Sus scrofa: one gene and its partner. The protein of the gene in region 1 interacts with the protein of each later gene in a biochemical or structural test. Links are inferred from orthologs where the notes say so. Each region holds a gene or a part of one and is shown on either strand. Other genes may lie near its edges. The genes, in order: ITPR1 and CABP1.

Region 1 (4,515 bases):
CAAGATGGATCTCAGGTATGGGATAAACCTAATGCAGACCTTAGCCATTGTTCCTTGTTGTTTGGCTTGGTTTCTTTTCCTCTCCTCTTGCAGGCTTTCAGCACATAGCATTCCAAAATGAATTCGGTACCACCCCTAAGACCTCCTCAGATAACCACAGTCTTTTTATTCCTACATCTGTGGCTGCATCGTTTTCCTCTTACATCAGGGTAACTTTGCTCAATGGTGGGACACAAGCAAGAGTTATATCATCCACAGCAATAAATTTACCATTTTTCCTGGTTTTTTTTCCTCATTCTCCCCCACCTTAGGTGCACTGGTGGGAAACAGTGGAGTCCCACAGCCTGGTGTTCCCCCTCCTGTGCTGTGTGCTAACTAACAGGCAAGTGTTTTCACTCTCCAAACTTCAGCTTCTTCACCTGGACCTGATTCAACAGGGTTTCTGTGATGTCTGACACGGGACCTGGCTTATAAGTACTTAATTGTATTATTATTATTATTTTTAGCAACCAGTCATAGAAGAGTTAGTGGACCACTTTCCCCGGACTGCAGCTTACTCTGAAGAGGAGAACTAACCCCAAGCCTTGGCCTTATGAGTGCCCACGTAGCCATGCGATTCAGGAGAACTCCAAGAAGGAAGTAGACCTCACACATCCAAATGCTTCCCACTCCACCAGCACTCCTGAGGATCTTATCAACAGGAAACAAAAGCACAGTACTACTATAATGAAGTGTCTGACTTTTCTAATTAGCAAAGCCCAAAGATTGTAGCCCAGGGAACAGCTAAATATTTAGAAGCGATCATGAAGACCCAGTCCCCCAAAGGATCTGTTGATCCTGTTCCTGACCGTTTCAGAAGAAAAAACTTTTGATGCTCAATTCTGCAGCAACGGGGATGTATGTGCACCAGTTAAAATCTCCCTCTATTCAACTGCAGTCTGAACATCTGGGGGAGGAAGGCATAGGAGCTGCTTCTGTTTACAAATAAACAGCTCTCAGCTAATAACCCAGGACAGGCATCTAAACCATAGCGATCCACCAGATTCCTTGACATTCAAGTGGCTTCAAGTCAAGGGCTGGAGGCTACTATCTTATGCTTCAAGAACTTCCCTTTTTAAAGTTCTAATTCTTTCAATTGGCCAGCAACCACTTTCATTTCTTGCAAGCAAACCGACCCTGATTAAACACCCATTCACAGTAAGAAAAAAGAAAGTGACTATTTTTGAAAGAGGCAGGCAGATAATTTTTGCTTACATATCTTGGCAGATGAAATGCACTGCATCCTTCAGAATTTAAATCTTCAGCACACCACCTGGCAAGTTCAGTTCTCAGGTCACCAATGGGCATCCCTTGTACTGCTCCATTTAATGTTGTTGTGAGGGTTTTTCTTCCCTCCTGTCAGAAACCTGGCTGCTTCACTTCTGAGCCAGGACCAAAAGCCCTAGGCAGGACCATCCCCTGGTTATCATCAGCTCCCTAAAGCCCTCATCCAAGGTGGTGACAAATTTTGGAGACTGAGCCATGGAATTTCCCTTTCTTTCCTGCTCCCCTTCTCCATGGCTCTTTAGAGAGAACTTAAAATAGGCTAGGACAAAAACTTATTATGGACTACAGCTCTAAGGCTTCCACACTTACCTGACCCAGGTCAGGCACTCTGTTGCCAAAACACGCCCAGCCAGGGGTGCGAGTCCTGTTCCTCTGTAGTCAGCTCCTGCATATTAAGAAAGAAGACTGAATATAAGATTGGCTGATGATGAGTCCCTAATAGAAATTCTCAAATTCCACACTTCCACTTTCTTTAGGCTCTTTCCTGGAGGGACAAACCCCCTCCCACCTACATACACACACACAGGGCCACCGCCACCGCCAAATTTGACGGGTGTGTTGGTGGGATCAAGAGGTGAAGGTTACAGGTAACTTCGCCTATTTGTTTCTAATATGTAACTGATAAGTGAGACTAGGAACGCACAAACTTCCAGTGTGCCGGGAAGATCTGAGACTAAGGGAAGTGTTTGGCAGATCCCAAAGCACTTGTTTCCCGGAGCGAAGGCCAAGTATCTGAAGCCCGCATCCTCATCGGGCGTGAGCTTCGTCCACACTTGGTCCTTCACCGCTCCTCGGGTTTTCTTCCGTTTTTTAAAACCCTCTTCACCGGGACCCCCAAATGCATTATTCTCCCAACCATGCAGCACGAGGGAGGGCTACATTTTAAGAAAGATTATTTCCTTGAGCGGACTCACAGAGGACATCCCCACGCCCCCCCCCCCAAAAAAAAAAAAACTATTTCCTGCAGCTGCTGCAACAGTTTCCAACTTGGGGGAATGCCATTCCAATCCAGAATGGGTAGTCCTCAAAGCCAGGCGATGGAGTTGAGAATTTTTTTTTTAACCTCAAATGAACCCCCCCCCAAAACGTCCTCAGTAAAAGAACCCCCAAATGCACGCAAGTGCATGCAAATCCACCAAGAACTACCAAAAAGCGAGGCAAAAACTTCTGCGCCCGGGGGGACAGTACCAACTCCCCGCGCCCTCCGCCCGGCCCCAACCTCTACCTTGGTGCCCGGGGAGCCACGCCGGTTTGGGGGAGCAGGGCGAGGAGAGGGGTTAGCGGCTGCTGGGTAATCCCATGTCCGCGAAGAGGGAGCTCGTTCCGTTAGGATGGAAGCGGAACACCCACACCTCCTCTCGGCGTGCGCTTTCTCTCTCTCCACCCTCTGCCTCCTCCTCCACCACCACCACCTCCTCCTCCTCTCCTCCCACCCCAGCAAGCTTGAGGAAACGCTTCAGCAGCACATCCACATGGTTACTGCACTTTGAAGCGGCTCCTGGCAGCTTATATAGGCCGGGAAGCTCCCTGGGCAATGTAGTCCGAGCCCAGGGTCGTGGCGGCGCCTGGGGCCGCGGTGACGAACTACAAGTCCCAGAATCCCATGGGCTACCGGGCTGAGCTCTAAATAGACGCGCGCGGGGACAGGGAGGGGCGTCCTGCCCCGCGCCGAGGCTTCAAACCCGGTTCAGTGCTGGGAGCTGGCTGGACTTGGAGACGGCGACCCAAAACTACCCCTGGAGGGCGCCCCCAACCCTTGGGGACGCTCCTCCTTTGGCTGTCCCCTTTCCCTAGAATCCAGGTGTCCCTGGTAGCAAGGGGCGAGAGGAGCTCGGATTTCTGCTTTGGGAAGTTTTTACAAGCTGTTACCCACCCTCCCCCCGCTTTGAGTACCAGAGCCAAGAATTTCAGAAATCCAGGGCACGAAAAAGCCAGTGTTTGCGGTCAAGGATTAAAGGCGCGAGGTTGTCTTTATTTAATCTGCTCCGCCCGGTTCGGGTTTGCACAGAAAATTAAGTCTGGGAGCAACACTAGCAGGGACGCTGGCAAGTGGCTAGAGAGCACTTTCCTGAACCCGAACTGCATGTGTCTTTCCTCGCCCCGCAGGAGGTATAGAAACTTAAGCCTCTCGGTGTACAAATAAAGGAACCGAGTTTTGACTTGCCAGGGCTGGGATTGGGAAGCAGAAAATAAATACAAACCGCGACCTCGGTCCTGACCCTGCTTCTAGCAGCCCCTCTGCTCCTGGGAGCTGTAAATGCTTAAGTAAATAAACCGCAAACCAGAAAAACAAGGGCTTTGGAATGAGTAGCTTACACAAAGATGCGCGTTCAGGCGGGGTGCCCTCCAGCAGCTCCCACAGGGGCTTCGGGGGCAAGATGGGTTTCAGCTCACTGCTCAGGAGAGCCTGGACGTCCCGGGTTACAATCTGCTTCAGACTCTGGTTTTTGGAAGAAGGGCAGAAGCTAAGTTCGGAGGCCAAGTCTGCCAGATGCCCTCCCTGCCTCAGACGATGTGCGTTCATTGCAGAAACGTTTCCTGAGAATCTACTGGGTGCCAGGCACTGGGGCATGGTAGTGAGCCAAAACCACATCATAGAATTCCGAACAGACACAGCTTGCCACCGCATAGATCTGCTGCAACAACAATGGTAATAATAATTAGGCAGATTTTATTGAGTCCAGACCACATGCACTTTTCATGCTTAAAGCTGTTAAGTTTTAACAACCGTAGGCATATGTATTATCCCTATTTGACAAACGAGGGCTCAAAGAAATCAGGTAACTTCCCAAGATGACACCATAATTTAAGTAGTGCAGCCTGGATTTCAATTCCAGTCTATAAATGTACCAAGTCCTTGTCTTTGGGGAAATCCATCACCACTGCCTTAAACAGCCTCCCTCCGCATTTTAGGAGTAGCCTCTGAGCCCTTGGGCAAGTCATCTTTATCTCTTTGCCCTAGTTTTGCCATCTTAGAGGAAGAAAATCATCACAATTTGCCAACTTCCTCTCAGGATTACTTGATACAGAGTCAACAGTGTTGTGGAACTTCAGGAACAAATTAGGGGAGCACCATGGCAAATAATTATTTCTGACATTATAATGCCAAATCTAATAATAATTACTGAAATTTGCTGGACACATCCCATGGGCCAGGCATTATTCCAAACTTTTTACATATATTATCTC
Region 2 (3,808 bases), on another chromosome or scaffold:
TCTGTGCCCAGGCTGGATGGGGCTCCTGGCTCCCTGCACATGTCCCACGTCTGTGAGACATGCGGAGTTGCACCTTTTCCCTCCAGGACGTGGTCTGGGCACGCCTCGGCTGCTGCCCACCACCTCCCACCAGGCACCTGCTGCCACTCGGCCAGCCCCCAGCTGGGCATCATAAGACTTGAGCTCCTCACAGCTGCTAACAGAACATGTTCTTTTGTTTCAGGACAGATCGCTGCGACCAGAGGAGATTGAAGGTAAGACCCATGTCCTCAGGGGAGAGGGTTGCTCAGCCATCCAGGAAGATGAGGGGAGGGAAGAGAGGCAGAGACATCTCGGCCTCTGGAGAATGGGGCCTGGTACAGAGCTGGGCATCCTCTGCTCAGCCAGGTGCTGGAGGAAGGCATGGTTCTGGGCAGCTCCAGGGTCTGACTGCCCAAATCAGTGGGGGCTGCCATAGCCCCAGCAGGGCCAGAGGTCCCGCCCCAGCCCGTCCAGCTTGCTTCTCTTCCCCAGAGCTCCGGGAGGCCTTCAAGGAATTTGACAAGGACAAGGATGGCTACATCAACTGCCGGGACCTGGGCAACTGCATGCGCACTATGGGCTACATGCCCACTGAGATGGAGCTCATTGAGCTGTCCCAGCAGATCAACATGAACCGTGAGTCCTTCCCTGGCACTCCCCGCCTCCCTCCACCTGTCCTTGTCCATGCTGTCTTCTGCCTGGGTTCCAGTCCTGGGCCCACCTCTTCCTAGCTCTGCGACCTGGGGAAAATCACTTACCTTCTCTGTGCCTTATTTTCCTCACCTGTGAAATGAGGGGTGGGATGGGGGAGTAGAGCACAGGAAGTCAATTAGGGGGAATATTTAGTCACTTTTTTTTCTTGGTGTATTTATTCATTTATTTATTTTTTTGGTAACAGCTTTATTCATATACCATACAATTTACTCACTTGAACCATACATGCCAGTCAGTGGCTTTTAGTGTATTCAGAGTTGCGCAACTATCTCCACAATCAATTTTAGAAAATTTTCATTTCCTCCCAAAGAAACTCTGTATCACTTTGCCATCACCCCCAAGCCCCTCCCTAGCCCTAGGTAGCCAGTAATCCACTTTTTGTCTATAGAGATTTGCCTCTTTAGGGAATTTCTTTCTTTTTTAAATTGAAGTGTAGTTGACTTACAATATTATATTAGTTTCAGGTGTACAATATAGTGATTATTTTTTTTGAGGGGGCACTGCGTCCACGGCATATGGAAGTTCCCAGGCTAGGGGTCAAATCAGAACTACAACTGCCAGCATACACCACAGCCATAGCAACTCCGGGTCTGAGCCATGTCTGCGACCTACACCACAGCTCACAGCAATGCCAGATCCTTAACACTGAATGAGGCCAGGGATCAAACCTGCATCCTCATGGATACTAGTTGTATTCATTTTCGCTGGGCCACAACAGGAACTCCCCCAAATTTTTATAGATTATATTCTATAGTTATTGTGGGAGTTCCCACTGTGATGCAATGGATTAAGAATCTGACTGCAGTGGCTCAGGTTGCAGCAGAGGCATGGGTTTGAGCCCCAGCCCAGTGCAATGAGTTAAAGGATCCAACTGTGGCTTGGACTCAATCCCTGGCCCAGGAAATTCCATGTGCCATGGGAGTGGCCATAAAATAAAATGAAATAAAGTTATTGTAAAATATTAGAGTTCCTTGATGGTCTAGTGGTTAAGGATCCAATATTGTCACTGCTCTGGCACAAGTTCCATCCCTGGCCTGGGAACTTCTGCATGCCATGGGCATAGCCAAAAAATAAATAAAGTTATTGTAAAATATTGGCTACATTCTCTATGCTGTACAATATATCCTTGTAGGAGTTCCCATCGTGGCTCAGTGGTTAACGAATCTGACTAGGAACCCATGAGGTTGCGGGTTCGATCCCTGGCCTTGCTCAGTGGGTTGAGGATCCAGCATTGCCATGAGCTGTGGTGTAGGTCGAAGATGCGGCTCAGATTCCGAGTTGCTGTGGCTCTGGCATAGGCCGGTGGCTACAGCTCCGATTCGACCCCTAGCCTGGGAACCTCCATATGCCACGGGAGTGGCCCAAGAAATGGCAAAAAGACCAAAAAAAAAAAAAAAGTCCTGTTATGATCATTATACAACTACAGATATGATAAGTTCATTTGAGTAATAAAAAAAATGAAAAAAAAAAGTCCTTGTAGCCTTTTTTTTTTTTTTTTTTTTTTTTATTTTCCCACTGTACAGCAAGGGGGTCAGGTTATCCTTAGATGTATACATTGCAGTTACAGTTTTTTCCCCCACCCTTTCTTCTGTTGCGACATGAGTATCTAGACATAGTTCTCAATGCTATTAAGCAGGATCTCCTTGTAAATCTATTCTAGGTTGTGTCTGATAAGGCTTTTTTATTTTATACATAGTTACTACCTCTTAATCCCCTGCCCCATCTTTCCCCACCCCCACCCCTCTCCCCACTGGTGACCACTAGTTTGTTTTCTGTATCTGTGAGTCTGTTTCTCTTTAGGAGACATACCTAAAACGGGCCCAATATTTGGCACACAGCAAGAGGTGAACAGAGATGCTATTTTTATTATCTTTGTCTCCATTTGGGTTCTCCCAGAAGCAGACCTGGAGACAAGGGTTTGAGTGTGAGTAGTTTATTCGGTAGGGGAAGCACAGCGTCGGCAGGGAGTAGGGAAGCGAGAGGTCAAAGGAGCCATGGAGGGAACGACAACCACGTGGGTGACAGAGTCTAGTTCTGCTAGGGGCTCAGGGAGCTGGTGTAGCAGGCCCACCTCAGAGTTCCCATAACCCTCACCTTGCAGGCTGGGTATTTATCCCCCAAATTCAGTTGCTGGCTGAAAGTGCTGTGAGCAGGCCCTAGGGGCAGCTCCATTGAGAGCCAGTTGGAAGGTGAGTTCTATTTGCATAAGGGGAAGGCAAGGTGCGTGAGGGGCCCAGAACTTCTGTTTCTCTCTGCCTTTCTGCATATGTCTCTCTCCTTCTCTGAAATTCTTTGCCCGTCTCTGTGACCTAATGTTTCTTTCTCCCATCCATGTCTGTCCCTGTCCACTTCCTAATTTGTTCCCTTCGTCAGCCCCTGGTCATTCTCTGATAAACCCCACCCCCATCTATGGTCATCTCTCTGGCCTCATTTGGCCTTTGCTTATACACTGGCGCTGGGCAGGTCAAGGAGGGGATGGCAGTTCCCCCAGTTGCCTAGTTGGAAATGGGCAATGGTCAGATGGATGACCCAGCCCTTTTCTCTGTCCCCAGTGGGTGGCCATGTAGATTTTGATGACTTTGTGGAGCTAATGGGACCTAAACTCCTGGCGGAGACGGCAGATATGATTGGAGTAAAAGAGCTGCGAGATGCTTTCCGAGAGGTGAGTGACGGGCAGTGGAGAGGCAGGGGGCAGGGAGTTCACTTGAATTCCAACCCAGGATGGCTATCTGAATAGAAACCTGAGTTCTGGATCCCAGACTAGGGGAAGGAGCTGGGACAGAGAAGGGCTCTGGGGAAGGGGGGCAGTGATGCTGGAGAAGGGGCTCAACCTTGGGATCTGCTTCTGACAGGGTCCATGTTCTAGCTACCTCTCCCCCCCTCCTCCCTTCTCTAGTTTGACACCAATGGTGATGGGGAGATAAGCACCAGTGAGTTACGAGAGGCCATGAGGAAGCTCCTGGGTCATCAGGTGGGACACCGAGACATAGAGGAAATCATCCGAGACGTGGACCTCAATGGGGATGGACGAGTGGACTTTGAAGGTAGGTGGGTCTTGAGAGTGGAAGAGAAA

Evidence for each region.
Region 2: the proteins of ITPR1 (region 1) and CABP1 form a complex in vitro, tested with the Homo sapiens proteins (2 studies listed by BioGRID). The link is inferred for Sus scrofa from reciprocal best matches to the Homo sapiens genes ITPR1 and CABP1.

The regions. Positions count from the first base shown.
Region 1 is NC_010455.5:61,066,420-61,070,934, reverse strand, and holds the start of ITPR1 (inositol 1,4,5-trisphosphate receptor type 1), read right to left. Parts: upstream 2,805-4,515; 5' UTR 2,552-2,804; intron 1,712-2,551; 5' UTR 1,636-1,711; intron 1-1,635. UniProt on the Homo sapiens protein: Inositol 1,4,5-trisphosphate-gated calcium channel that, upon inositol 1,4,5-trisphosphate binding, mediates calcium release from the endoplasmic reticulum (ER).
Region 2 is NC_010456.5:40,580,280-40,584,087, forward strand, and holds part of CABP1 (calcium-binding protein 1), read left to right. Parts: intron 1-223; coding exon 224-254; intron 255-513; coding exon 514-657; intron 658-3,287; coding exon 3,288-3,397; intron 3,398-3,631; coding exon 3,632-3,779; intron 3,780-3,808. UniProt on the Homo sapiens protein: Modulates calcium-dependent activity of inositol 1,4,5-triphosphate receptors (ITPRs). Inhibits agonist-induced intracellular calcium signaling.